3 linked regions of the Cricetulus griseus genome follow. The protein of the gene in region 1 interacts with the protein of each later gene in a pairwise test. Links are inferred from orthologs where the notes say so. Each region holds a gene or a part of one and is shown in the gene's direction. Other genes may lie near its edges.

Region 1 (4,176 bases):
CAAGCATCCAGTTGGGGGAGTGGGGAATCTCCATATTAGTACAAGGAAGAGCCTGGAAGTGACATGAAAAAAAGCAACACTTTAGAACTGCTGAGAAGTTTCCTACAGAAATTTATGTCAGAGCAAAGAAAGCAGGCCTGCTCCAGGAATCACAAAATACCTTTAAAAACAAAATACCTGGGAGGGGAGGGGACTTTGGAGGACCCAGCCTGTATCACCAGCCTTGCCTTAGTGCCCTAACTTCCCATCTATGCTTTTAGGGGACACCCATGCCATCCTTTGGCAGCCTTCATTTTGCTCCATTTTTTATTATGTTTAAATTGAATCTGGGGGTTTTATTACTATAATAAGGGGATATAAGGAGCTGGAGATGGAGAGGGATGTAAGGAGATGGAGATGTGGTTGCATCTGTAGAGTGCTTGCGAGGCAGCATGAAACGCTGAATTCACTGGAGTGGTGGTACACACCTGTAATCTCTGCACTTGTGGGGTGGAGGCAGTACTATCAAGAGTTCAAGATCACCTTTGGCTTTATAATGAGTTTGTTGCCAGTCTGGGCCACATGAGACCCTGCCTCAAAAGAAAGGAAGGAAGGAAGGAAGGAAGGAAGGAAGGAAGGAAGGAAGGAAGGAAGGAAGGAAGGAAGGAACACATGAAGGAATGTACTTGTCTTATTCAAGAAAGAAAATAAAAATTGAATGTTCTGGTGAAAAAAATAAGGTTATAGTTAAAGTGATGGTCTTTGCCATTTGGAAATACAAAAGCTAGGGGCCAAAAAGATGGCTCATCTGGATGTCTGTACCATAAAGCCTAATGACCTGCGTTCAATCCTCAAGACCCACGTAGTAGGAAGAGTTGTCTCTGATTTCCACAGGGACACCATGGCACGCACGCGCGCGCGCACACACACACACACACAATGTAATTTTAAAATTTATAAAAAAAAATACAAAACCTAAGTAACAAGTATTTTTGGAACTCTAAACTTTTGATTGCACTTTATTTTCCAGTACATATTCGTTTCCCTACTTTCCAGAGATTCAACATACAAACTGCTAAAATCTGTGTGTGGACACTTGGAGGTGCGTATGACATTCAAATTCTATGCTGTCTTTCTTCGGTATGCCTTAAGGTCTGAAGTTGACCTGGGTTTTCATTTTATTCCTATGATTTCAGAACACAAGTGTCGGTAACAATTCCAACCCATCTTCTCCTGAAAATAGTTTCCGGGCAGATCGCCCTTCATCTCTGCCTCTGGTAAGCTGCCCAGATAATGACGTAAGTGCACAAGCAAAGGATGGAGCCATGGCTACCCTGTGCTCACACTACAGCCAAGGCTTGGGAGGAACTCAGGACCAGTGTAGTTGGGGACAGCTGCAGAGCACAGCTTGTCTCTCCAGAAGCAGAGGGACCAAAGGGAGCCACTAACTTTTTCTAGTAATCTACAGGTTGTTCTACATGGAGAAGAAATATGATAGTAAGGCTGGAGGTATATAAGACCTCACTTCATTTGCTTGTCAGTTTTGTTGTGTGTGGTGCTGGCAGTCAAACCCAGGGCCTCATGCATGCCAGCCAAGCACTCTCCACTAAGCTACATTCCAGACACAGTGCTCCTTTAAAGAGATTCACAAATCTCTTTGAGGCAGGCTCAGTTCACAAAGGTTCAGGGTACTATACTGGGAAACCATGGAAAATTAAAACTAATTCTCACCTTCAGAGACTTCAGCTTAGGAAAGATGGGCAGACTCAGAAATGACTAGGCAAAGCTATTATGCTCAGGTGGCAGGTAGAACTATTATGTTCCCTTGGACTTTGTAGACCACAGTGAAAACCTCCAGTGGTATCTCTATGTGTACATGATGTCTACCTATAGTAGAGAGGCCAGCCTAGTCCACAGAGTGAGTTCCAGAACAGTCAGGGCTACACAGAGAAACCCTATCATTGGGGTGGGGTGAATAGGGGAAGTAGTTTCAACATCTAGGAATCTTCTTTTGCATTTTGAAAACTAATGTAATTAAAGCATGTTCACATAAAAACTCGAACAAGAAAGTTTATCTGGGAGTAATGGCATGCACCTGTAATCCCCAGTACTTGGGGGTAGGGAGCTAAGACAGGAGGATTACTATGAGTTTGAGGCCAGACTATGCTACACAGACCACGATAGAAATATATAGCAAAACTTTGTCTCAAAAGCAAAAAGGAATGTTTATAGCAGTATTTTGCATAATAGCCCAAAGTAGGATAAAACTCTGATGTTCTTTAATGAATGGGATGTATTTAATATAGTATACAGTGTAGTATTACCCACTCTTGAAAAGGAATTGAAGACTGATACATGTTACCACATAGATGGACCTTAAAATCAATATAACAAACAAAAACAAATGGCTATGTATTGCATGATTGCATTTACTGATGCTTCCCAAGTTAGAATGGGTTTCCATCTTCATAGACCGTCATAATGATCCATAGCACTGGGAGGGAAAGGGTGTGGGCAGTACAAAATACACATGTGATGACTTAGAATTCAGCAAACATGGTTTCCAGTGTGAGCTCTCCCAGTTGGAGTCGCTCCTCAGGGAAGTTCCTTCCCCTCTGACCCACTTCTTTCATCCAGTGAAATCCTAACCTCACCATATGGGTGGGGAAAGCCAATGGATCCATGTGTGTAAGGCGGTTTGCACACTGCCCCATACAGGATCAACCTTCAGTTAGTCACGATTAAGTTGAAGAGACTAAAGTTTTTCCACTTTTCAAACTGAATTGTAGCTCAGTTGGTAGAGTACTAGCATGACCTAAACAAAGCCATGGGTTGTCCCTAGCACCAAACAAAGCAGGCATGGTGGCTCACGCCTGTAGAGGTAGAGGCAGGAGGTTCCAAGATAAAGGTCATCCTCAGTTACATTGAGAGTTTAAGATAGCCTGAGATAGATAGAGGAGACTCTGTCTCAAACAGTTAAATCAGGTATAAATCAATCCATCGAATGTTCACCTTTCTTTCCCCTATCCATCATTGTAAGGAGTCTAATGGATGCTGAGATGACACAAAGACAGCAAAGTCAAACACAAATGTTGCTCATTTGCTTACTAGTGTTTCCTCAGTCGGCAGCTAAACTGTTAAGAGCTCAGCCTAATTCGGCCTTTGCCAGGGCCAGCTGGAAATACTGTGTATCCCCTTAGGTCTTGAACACTTCAGGGAAGCCAGTGGAATACAAATTGAAATGCCTCTGCTCGTGGTCTTCTCTCCTGGTTCCGTAGCTGACCCTGATAGAATCTAACTTAAAAGGCTGCTTTGCCTGCAGTGTTTTTTTTTTTTTTCTTTTCTGTGCCCACTAGCATCTTTTTTTCATTATAATTTACAATACTTTTGTCTACATAATTCGAGTGGCTTTGAGCTGTCTGTCTGGCAGCAGTTAGATATTTCGGGGCACAGTGCTGCTGAGATTCTCAGCCTCCCACTAGCAGTTTCTCTCTCGCCAGCCGTCCAGTGCTTTCTCTAGATACTTGTTTCAAACCAGCCATGTGCTGTTTATGAATAGAATTCTAACCATGCAGAGGAATCTCGGTTCCGTAACCAGATACTCCCAGGTTAGGAAAATCCCGAGGCGTGTGGTAACCCGTGCTTCATTTCCATATTTTGTGGGTCAGGCCTAAGCAAAGTGGCTAAGGTTTACAGAGGCCTGCCTATCTCCTCACGTCACTGTCTCCCCATAGGATTTCAATGATGAATTCTCAGACCTGGACGGAGTGGTTCGACAACGAAGGCAAGACATGGAAGGATACAGCAGCTCCGGCTCCCAGACTCCAGAATCTGAGAACTCCCGAGGTCTGAGGAGATCTTGTCCCGATTCAAGTTTCATGCCCCACACAACACCCCCCCTCACCGTCTTCAAAACACAAAACAAGGCCCACCCTTCTCCTCCCATTCTCCTCCCAGATTAACAGTTGCAAAGGAAATCTTGGGAAAGGGTTCCTAGGAAAGGGAATTGCCTCTATAGCAAAATCCATCTCCTTTGTCCATATTTAACAGACATCTCTTACACTGATATGCTAGGATGGCTGAGAGAGATCAGCATGAGATTTCTCACTTATATCTGTAATAGTAAGAGACGTTAATACTGTGGGTCTATGGATGCCAACCCAGTGTCCTTGCGTCATTTTGTTTTCTGGTGAACTT
Region 2 (4,885 bases), on another chromosome or scaffold:
CATTGTCCATCCATCCATTGATCAGCTGTCCAATCATTACTCTATTTACACATTTCCATTCATTATCTCATCTGCTTCTCTTATACTCATGCAACCAACTGCTTATTTTTCACCCATCTATCCACCCATCTACATTCATCCATCCATCCATCCATCCATCCATCCATCCATCCATCCATCCATCCATCTGTGCCAACTCTTAATTTTCTTCCTGTTCTTTTTTTCTTTCTTCTTCACCATTCTCTACTTCCTACCTTCTGAGAAACATTTGTTTAGAGTCTACTGTGCACCATGGCTTTTAGATTTAGAAGGATTCTTTAAACCTTGAGGATTCTTTAAACCTTTAAACCTTTTCTCAGGAGAAAAGTTACTTTTTCACTGAACCCCAGACCAGCTCCTCTGTACCCCAAGCTTCTCCTCCATAGGGAACTCTGTTCATGATTCCCGGGGAGGAGAGAGAAGCAGGGAGAGAGGAGAGAGAAAAAGAACCAGTCTGGGTTAACTGCTACTGAGCCATCCTACTTTATCTGAGATGCCCAAGCTGCAGGACGCATGGAAAAGAACCCAAGACTCACACTCAACAATGTGGAAATCTATGTTGCATTTTATAAAATAGCATAATTGTATATGAGAACATTTCATTACAGTAGTCTCCTAATCGGTCTCCCTGTTTCCAGACTCCTGTATCCACATCGATGGCTTCTAACCATGGTCAGAGGAATCTTTATTTTGTGTATGTTTGTGTGTGTGTGTTTACATATATATGCGCACATGCATGTGCATGCATTTAGAAAGCAGAGGTCAATATCCAATAACTTCATCAATCACTTTCCACGTTATTTTTGAAAAAGGGTCTTTCATTGAACCTAGAGCTCTCTCTTTGCCAGACTTGTTAGCCAGGGATCTACATGGATTCTCTTGCCTCTGCCTTCTTAGCCTGGGGACATAGGTGCCTTCTGGTGTACCTGGCTTTTACATGGGTTCTGGAGACATGAACTCATGCTTAGGTGGCCATCACTTTTCTTCCCAGCCCTTCAGAGTGCTCTTTCTAGTCCCTTTCCTGAACCCACTGGAAGGAGGTAAAGCCCCTTAAGATGATCCAAAAGGACCCTCATCACCTGACTAGATGCCTCTTAAACCCACACCCACCTCCTGCCACACATCACATGTACATAGGGCCAGAGCTATCGACAGTTTCCATAGCATCCTAGTAGTCTTATTTCCCAGACACCGAGTGTGTCCATCCCTCATTCAGTACTCCCATCACTGTGCTCCCTGTACGTCCTTTGACAGTGGATATCCATCCATTGCCATGTTCTCCACCTCATATTGTAATTTACTTTCTCAGGCTATTTTTTCTGTCAGATTACAAACTGAGTTAGAAAATTGAGTAGTTCATCTCTGGGGTCCTGAGTTGGGCTCATAATGTGTTTGTATGGTGGGTGGGTAGATGTTGACTGAATGATAGGCTAGGGGCTCTTTACAAAAGAAATAGAGAACCTTTGAATTAGATGATTAAAATGTCAGTGTCCCAGGGAAGAAGGCAAGTGATCCCTGCAAAGCCTGGATCTTTGGAGAGGGGATGAAGCTGTGGTCTCAGCCTGGTAAAATGTCTAAGCCAAGAACAGGGAACTTGGGCATGACACAGTGACTTGCTCTGCGACTCATTTCCCGTTTCCTTCTGGATAAAAGGCCTTAGGAGAGACAAACAGCCAGAAGCTCCCATGCCAGAGGTGAAGATGAAGGAGAGTGAGGCCCCTGATGCCCACTTCACAGTGGACAAGCAGAACATCTCCCTCTGGCCTCGAGGCAAGTGCCAGCTACTGCTCCAAGCCCATTTGGTGCTTTGCCCATCACTCTTCACTGATCCTTAACAAACCTCTGTGTCTCCTACCAGAGCCTCCTCCCAAGCCAGATCTGTCTCCAGTCCTGAGGAAACCTCTCAGCCTCCGTGTGGCCTTCATCTGTCTGTCATTGGTGCTGGTCGCCTCTATTGTGCTTCAAGCTGTTTTCTGTAAGTCACCAGGTCCCTGGAGACCCAGTCCTTTTGCTGCTGTTCTTGGTGTCTTCAGTGTATAATGTTTCAGGAAATTTCCTGATGTTTCTGGAAGCCGACTTGCTGTTCCTTCCAACTCTGGGTTTTTGGAAGATTTCCCGCCTGGCATTAGGAACTGTCTGTTCTCAGGGGTACTCTTCAGTCTTGAGGAAAGAGTCACCAAGCTTGTCATGCCTGCTTTTGCCTCCCTTAGCATCCTGTCACTCACAGCGTTGAGGTCCTTTGGTTCAAAACATTGTGGATAGCTCCCAACAGTGGGAGGGATCCTACTCCTGACCACCCACAAGGCAGTTTGTCTCCATTGAGCAGATAGGGAACTTGGCCAAGCCAGCAAATCTCCCAGACAGTCTCATTCTCTTGTATGTCCTTACCTGGAATCTTCTTATTCCCCTTCTAGAAGCTTCTTAGTCTCTTCTGTGGTCACACCTTTCTCCTTTCTGCCAAGTCTCTAGAAAGTATAGGGAGGGAATGTTTCTACTTTCATGACTGACATGCGTGGTCACAGATGCTCAGCCACACCTTTCCAAGTCCCTAACCCTCATCCTCAACTGGTGGCCTTGTCTCTTCTCCTCCACTTACCCCCACCCTCTGTCTCCTGTTTGTTTGAGACAGGGTCTTACTATTTATCCCTGGCTGGCTTGGAACTCAGTAGATCTGGCCTGCCTGGAACTCACTGAGATCTGCCTGCCTCTGCTGGGATTAAGGTGTGTGATACCATGCTTGGCTGTTTCGAGCTTTTAGCACTGCCTTTTTCATATGATTCTTTTTGGAAATCTCATATTTTATTTTATTATGTATGCAAGTGTTTTGCTTGCATGGATGTGCAGCACATGCCCTAGAATGGTTTGCTTGTGTGTGTGTGTATACCACAAGCCCTAGCTCTCAAAGAGACAAGAGGACATCTCATCTCCCTATAACTGAGGTTATGCATGGCTGTGAGCTGCCAAATTGTGCTGGGAATTAAACTCAGGTTTTCTGAAAGAGTAATTGTTCTTCCTGCTGAGTCATTTTCAGTCCCACAGATCTCTTTTGATAGTTATTGGTTCCCCTATGATCTTAGTAGAGTATGAAAGACAGGGCTTGGGAAGGGCAGAAATAGCTCAATGCCCCTCCTATGTGTTCTGGAGTCTGCATGGATATGGCCCTGCCCATGGCCATAGACCAGCTTGTGGCAGATAAGGGAGGGTGTGCTGCCTTAGCTGGTGGCTGTGTCTTTGACAGCAGAGGGCTGGGGACTATCTCATAGGCTCAGAGGGGACTCAGTGATAGAATGATGAGGGGGTGATGAAGAGTGCCCCTTTACCAAGTTTACCCTGACCATTCTAAGGCATTTCAGGACTAGGCTCTCCCTCTGTTTGTTGATGAGCTCTCTTGGTCTCTGCCAGGCCTGTGTTACCCAGCGTTCCTGACACATGGTGGCACATAGCACACCCATGTGCACATTAGTGAATGAGTGGAGAGTAGGTGGCAGTTCCTTGGACTGTATTGGTCCTTTGGGAAGCTTGATTCTGCATCGTTCACTTTCTTCAGACAACACCCCATCTCTGTGGCTTAGTAACCTCTCAATTGACTGCTTGACTTTCTCAAATCCAGATCCCAGGTTGGTGGACAAAATATTGGATGTGAAGAGCGATGCTCAGATGTTGAGAGATCGTGCGGACAATATCAGCAGTCTGGGTTCTGTTCTGGAGAAGGACAGAGGCCGTGTGGAGGAGGCTGAAGTTCAGATTCAGATCCTGAACACAAGCCTAACCCGGGCGCGTTCCCAGATTCTGTCTTTGCGGATCATCATGGAGCAAGCCAGTGCTCAAATCAGTGTGTTAACACGAAACTGGGAAGAGGTTGATAGTCTTAGTTCCAAAATCCCGGAGCTGCAAAGAGATCTGGATAAGTCCAGCGCCTTGAATGCGAAGGTCCGAGGACTGCAGAACAGCTTGGAGAATGTCAACAAGCTGCTCCAAAGACAGAGTAAGTAAACAAGATCATCCTGCAGGCTGCAAAACCCTACCTGTCTCAGACAGGTGACAGGCTGCCTTGTGGGTGGGCAGGGAACAGGCTTTGGGTGGGCAGGAGACAGGCTTGTGGGTGGACAGGCATTACCAATGGTCTGGGTCTGAGAGAACTTGGGGGTAGTGAGGAGAGAAAATACTGGGCCTAGCTTGGGTCTCTACACTTAAGTGCAGAGTGCAGAAGCATTGGGGCGGGGCGGGGGTCTGTATGTTCCATATGGGGAACCTGGAGTTCCGCATGGTCTGGAGAAGAGCCATATTTTGGGTTCTGAGAGAGTGAGTTTACTAAATATATAGTGAACTAATAATAAAAGAATGAATAACAATCGACAGATGGATAGAGAATTGGCAGGCAGACAGACAGATACACAGGTGAGAGATTGATGTAGCAAAACATCAAATTGGACACTCAAAACACCCAGCGGAAATCAACTGGGGAAGCCACACTGAGACCTTCAGCCGGAGTTTCTGTTAGGGAGTCCCTGAGGAGCAGAGGGTCCCTTGGGGTAAGAACAAATAATGGCTGGAAGGTCACATCATCAAATCTGGAACTACAAACATCCAGCAGAAACTCACTGAGGAAGCTGAAACAGACCTTTCTCTCCTTAGAGGGCACTTTGAGACAAACATGCTTGGGTCTGAAATTGGGAGGGGTAGGCATCCCCACTCCAGAGCTAGCTTCTCACTGAGCTCACACAGTGGTATTTTACTAATACAATATGCTACACAAAGCCTGTGTCTTGTCTTTCCCCATGAAGTTCATTACTGTGAGCCAGGGCCCAGGGTAATGGTCCCTTGCGTTCCTCTCACAGTCTCCCCT
Region 3 (4,704 bases), on another chromosome or scaffold:
CCAGCTCTTTCCCTTTCTAATAAAACTTCTCACTAAGCTCTGTCTGCCTAGCATGTTTGTCCCTCTGCCTCGGTCAACCTCACCTGCCATGGAATCCGCCAAAGTTCCCCACAAGCTTTATCATAACACTTACCCCAAAGACTCAACATCAACCTGCCAACTGGTAAACTGCACTAGACTTGGAAGAAACAAAAATCATGACAAGAATTGCTAGGGCGGGAGGAAACAGCTGTGCGGTGTAAACTGGGCCTTCTAATTGGATGCATAGCCTGGGGTGGATTAGTTCCTCCTTTACCCCTCAGATTCCCTAGACTACAGTGAAGAAGCTGGCCTACTCATTCTAAAATTCTGGGTGACCCAAGAATTTTATTTGTATTCCCAATAGTCCTCCAACTCAATTTTCCCCTGGGCACATGCTTTGTGGATACTAGAATGAACGATGGCCGAGACTGGAAACTAGGGCCTGGAGGGGTTGCTAGCAGCTTAGACACAAGGAGCCATTAGTGCCGAGAGGCTAAGGTGCAGACTAGTCTGGAGTCTTCTTGGCTGCAGCTCACAAGTAACAGACAAGTGAGTGGTCCTCAACGTGGCTGGAGACGGTAGAAAGGAAGGCCTTTAACAGAGGGCTCCCCACTGGCACTGCAGCTTCATCACCCGATGGGCTCTAGGGCCGAGTAACCCGTCTTAGTTTACTGTCTGATAAAACACGAACAATAACAGAACCCGACTTATAAAGGTCGCTACGTGAAGTTTCAAGAGTGCCTGGTATACAAGAGGAGCTCAATAAACACTCCTGCCAGAGGCGCTTCACCACGCAGCACAGCCTATTCCAGCCCAAGTGGTAATTTCCCGGGATAATTAAAAAGCCTAAGCGAGATACAAACACGTGGGGCGTGCTAGGGACGATGGTGACTAATTCCTAACAGTCCCCAATTCCCAGCTAGATACAACATGCTCCGCACTCGCAGGGCCCACGTGAGGCCTCCGAGGCCCGGGTTTGAGTGTCACGGTGACCTTGGACCAGCCTAGTTCCTCACGGAGCCTCTACTTTCTTATCTGGAAACCGCCGCGTGAAACCCACGAAGGGCCCACGCCGCCCTATGGAAACCACCCGACCGCGTGTGTCTCGCAGGCCGGCGCCCGAGCGGTCTCCATGGCAGCACCCGACCTACCTTCCTGCCGGCAGTAGGACATGGTTGTTCCGGACGCTCTCAGCTCTGGGAGGCACTCAGCACGACCGTAGCGGATACACACCTTCACGCAGTGACCTCCCTTCGCCTCTCCTCAGGCTTGGCGGGCGGCACTTAAGCCCGCGCGGACCCGCCCCCTCCAGGCCTGCCCGCCGCGCGCCTGCCTCCCAGCTTCCTAAGCACCAGCGCCGCTCCTTAGCCGAAAACTACATTGCCCAGCGGCCCGTGCGCCCCTCCAACGAAGCAGGTACTACATTTCCCAGAAATCTTGCAGTGCGCACGCGCACCAGTGAAGTGTTGGGTGCGCTTGAAATTTTGTGGCGGAAAGTGTCCGATAGCGGACTACATTTCCCAGCAGGCCTCGAGATGTGCTCGCGCAGACAACTTGCGGGGCACAGACAACTATCCGCGGGGCGGTAACTCTTGACCTGAGTCCTGCCAGGTCCTGGATTCCACGCGGAGTCTTGCAGCGCGGTAGGAGAGAGGAGGTCACCGCATTCTGCCTTCCGGTCGTCAGCCTAATTCCTAGCAGAGCAGTGCTAGACCGCGGAGGCGAGCCGGGCCCACCATGGCTGCGAACGTGAGTACCTTCTGTTCCCTTGACCACACTATCATCCGGGACACTCCTTCCCCTGGTCCACGGTGGGTCCTTCGGCGATGCGACCTCAGTGGGTGCGGCGACCCTGATCTCCCTGTGCTCGTCCACCTGTCCACTCACCCTCAGGCCGCACGTTTGTGGAGCGCTCCTCTAAGTCGAATCGGCTCGTGCGTGGTTGCTCCTTCCACTCCTAGTTTCTGTCTGGGCCCCTGGGGTATGAAACTTGGGGAGAAGGACCGCGAGGAAAGTGTCTCTCGGTGGGCATATTGGTGAGGCGATTCCGGCCAGGTGGAGCTGTCCAGCAAAGGCTTCTCTGACCTCCGTGCCCTAGGGGGTGTGTACACCTAGGCTGTGCTGCTTCTGTAGCAGGACCAGCCTGGCCGGATGACCAAGAGAGAGAGGCCTTTCTCTACGGTCCGGTCCCTGGTGCACTTATTTGGTAAGAGACCCTGGCTGAGGATAACCTCTCCCCCTGTCCCCAACATCCCCCAGGTCTCTGGCTTCTTCCTACTGCAACTAGTCCTTAAGAACTTTACTAGTGAATCCGAACATTCATTCAACAAGCGGAGCAGCGCCACTTACTAGGGAACTGGGTGTGGGAGAAGCTGGTGACTCACCACTGCCTCTGGTGAAAGTGCCTCTGAAGCCAGCTCAGGAGTGCTGCCAACCCCAGGCACACCCTCTCTCCCTCCTTGGTAGAATGTCATTGCCCCCCTCTTCCCAGGCCTCTCCTCTGTCCGGCAAACCTCTTCTTGGCCTCCTACACCCCTGGAGCGGCCAGAGTTTGTGGGACCCACTGCCCAGGCAAAGGCACATTGTCAGGCCCTGGAAGGCAGGAGAACCAGAGGTTAGGAAAGCTGCACTGGAGCCAGAGGAGAAGGCACCCTGTAGACCAGCCTAACAGGAGCAGGTGGACTCATGATGGCGCTTATCACCATCACCATCATCATCATCTTTTACAGTTCCCCAGCAGAAGACACCGGCTCGGGGGTGCTAGGCCAGTATATGCTACAGCACCAGCCTGGGAAGGTGATGAGGGCAGGCTAGAGGCAAATCCAGATTCTTCCACTCTAACTTCTCTGGGTTCACTGTCTCATGGGATCAGTTACTTTGAAGTTTGAGGAAGATTGCTAGGCACAGAGCCTGGTACATGGGAGGTACTTAACCCATGGAAACGTCACTCTTACAGGCTAGTACCCACAGTCCTGGTAGGCAGAGACCATCTCGGGGATGTTGGAGTCTGACTCTCATACCAGCAAACATAGACACAATGGGATCTCTTCAGTAGCCATGCCTTTGCCTATTTGTTACATTACTTTCTTGGAAAGACTTGAATGAACATCCATTCAGTCAGCAGGATAACCATAGACCAAAGGAACAATCCTACCAACTCTATCTTGGTGAACTGTGCATACTTGCAGGAGCATGGGTAACCCCTAAACAGCTACCTCACCAAAGTCCCACATCAGCATAGGTGGACCACCCCTGGAAAGCTGCATAGATGAAGTGTCATCCCCTTTGCTCCCAGCCCCCCCTTCAGTTAGCCTCTGCCTTCTGTATACCCTAGCAATGCTATATACTGCTAGGGGTGGGACATAGGAGGAGGTGATCGGCTGGAATCTCATCCACTCTTCCAGAAAACATGCCTGATCATGTGAGGGGCTCATGTGGACAATCAAAGCTGTTCTTATTTCAAGATGTCAATGACTGTGTCATGCCTGGGGGACAGAGGACCAGAGCATTCATACTAGAGCTGAGCCACCAGGCAGGGTTAAAGACAGTGGGTGGAGCACAGGCACCTAGATTCAGAATAACAGCTGACCTGTCAGGTAGGTATTATTACCAGCAAGTGAGGAACCAGGACCAGAGAGGTGGAGCATGTTACCAGGCTCACACAGCAACAGAGCTTGGATTCCAACCGTGGTGTGCCAATTTCCAGGCCTAGTGTGTTCCCACCTGTTGCTTCATTGCTTGTTCATTCTGAGCCCAGTGTGCTCAGAATACGTTACGGAGGATACATAAGTGTATGTATACACATGCAAATACATATTCCCATATAGGTACCATTTGCCATCTCACCCCTCCCCCAGCTGGAGGAATATCCTCTTGGCTTCTATCCCTTCCTGGGCTTAGGAAGAACAGGAAAAACACAGGTTTCCTTTTTTCTATTTCCAATTGTTCAGATCACATTACAGCTAAGGTCACTTTAAGCAATGAGGAAGGCAGTCTAGGGCAGAGGGATCTTGCTGGATTTGAGCACCTACTCACTACACATAAGCTTGATCTGGGCAGATATCCTAAGCAGTGAGTCTCGATTTCCTCACCTGTGAAATGGGGTAGTGCTAGCCTCTTCCACCTTGAGCTGGCTCATGACTGACCATGAGCTGGCTCATGGTCACCTTCTTGTCTGCAGCGATTATCTCCACTAAGTTTCTGATGGTGTCATTCTGGGTTCAGTGGGTGTCCTGAGCCAGCAGTGGAGAACAGCCAGAAGTGGCATCTGCTGTGCTCATAGACTCCGACCCAAATCTATCCTCTGATCCTGGGCAAGAAGGGGCCTGGCTCTCTGAGGTGCCTGCCTGGTGACCACTTTGTATCTCTGTGACTTTCGTCTACACCCACAGTCTGGGTGGCAGCCCCAGTTTCAGTTTTGGAGAGATCTGATAATGTTCCTATTAGCTGTAACTCCCACAGGTGCCTACAAGGCCTGGGCACTGAGCCAATACCCCAAGCATTTTGGATAGTCACCTCCACTTTACCCAATAAGAAATGGAGGGCCCACAGCTAGTAGGTGGCAGAGCCAGGATTCAGGCTCAGTCTCTGCTTTTGGTGATAAGCACTAGACATACTTCTGACAACAGCAAGCAGGGCAAAGCCTGCTCCACTGACCTATGTGGCTTGTGGCCTACTGGATGC

The links. The genes of interacting proteins can lie anywhere in the genome.
Region 2: the proteins of Gramd2b (region 1) and C-type lectin domain family 4 member K interact in binary tests that used the Homo sapiens proteins (3 or more experiments, as listed by UniProt). The two-hybrid records come from large-scale screens. The link is inferred for Cricetulus griseus from reciprocal best matches to the Homo sapiens genes GRAMD2B and CD207.
Region 3: the proteins of Gramd2b (region 1) and Tmem43 interact in binary tests that used the Homo sapiens proteins (3 or more experiments, as listed by UniProt). The two-hybrid records come from large-scale screens. The link is inferred for Cricetulus griseus from reciprocal best matches to the Homo sapiens genes GRAMD2B and TMEM43.

What each region holds. Positions count from the first base shown.
Region 1 is NC_048595.1:182,402,503-182,406,678, reverse strand, and holds part of Gramd2b (GRAM domain-containing protein 2B), read left to right. Parts: intron 1-1,009; coding exon 1,010-1,081; intron 1,082-1,175; coding exon 1,176-1,277; intron 1,278-3,713; coding exon 3,714-3,825; intron 3,826-4,176.
Region 2 is NC_048601.1:57,585,870-57,590,754, forward strand, and holds the start of C-type lectin domain family 4 member K, read left to right. Parts: upstream 1-1,724; coding exon 1,725-1,809; intron 1,810-1,897; coding exon 1,898-2,014; intron 2,015-3,649; coding exon 3,650-4,024; intron 4,025-4,885. UniProt on the Homo sapiens protein: Calcium-dependent lectin displaying mannose-binding specificity. Induces the formation of Birbeck granules (BGs); is a potent regulator of membrane superimposition and zippering.
Region 3 is NC_048601.1:52,332,582-52,337,285, reverse strand, and holds the start of Tmem43 (transmembrane protein 43), read left to right. Parts: upstream 1-1,543; 5' UTR 1,544-1,758; coding exon 1,759-1,770; intron 1,771-4,704. Other genes in the region: Chchd4 (mitochondrial intermembrane space import and assembly protein 40), read right to left, coding at 1,173-1,194. UniProt on the Homo sapiens protein: May have an important role in maintaining nuclear envelope structure by organizing protein complexes at the inner nuclear membrane. Required for retaining emerin at the inner nuclear membrane.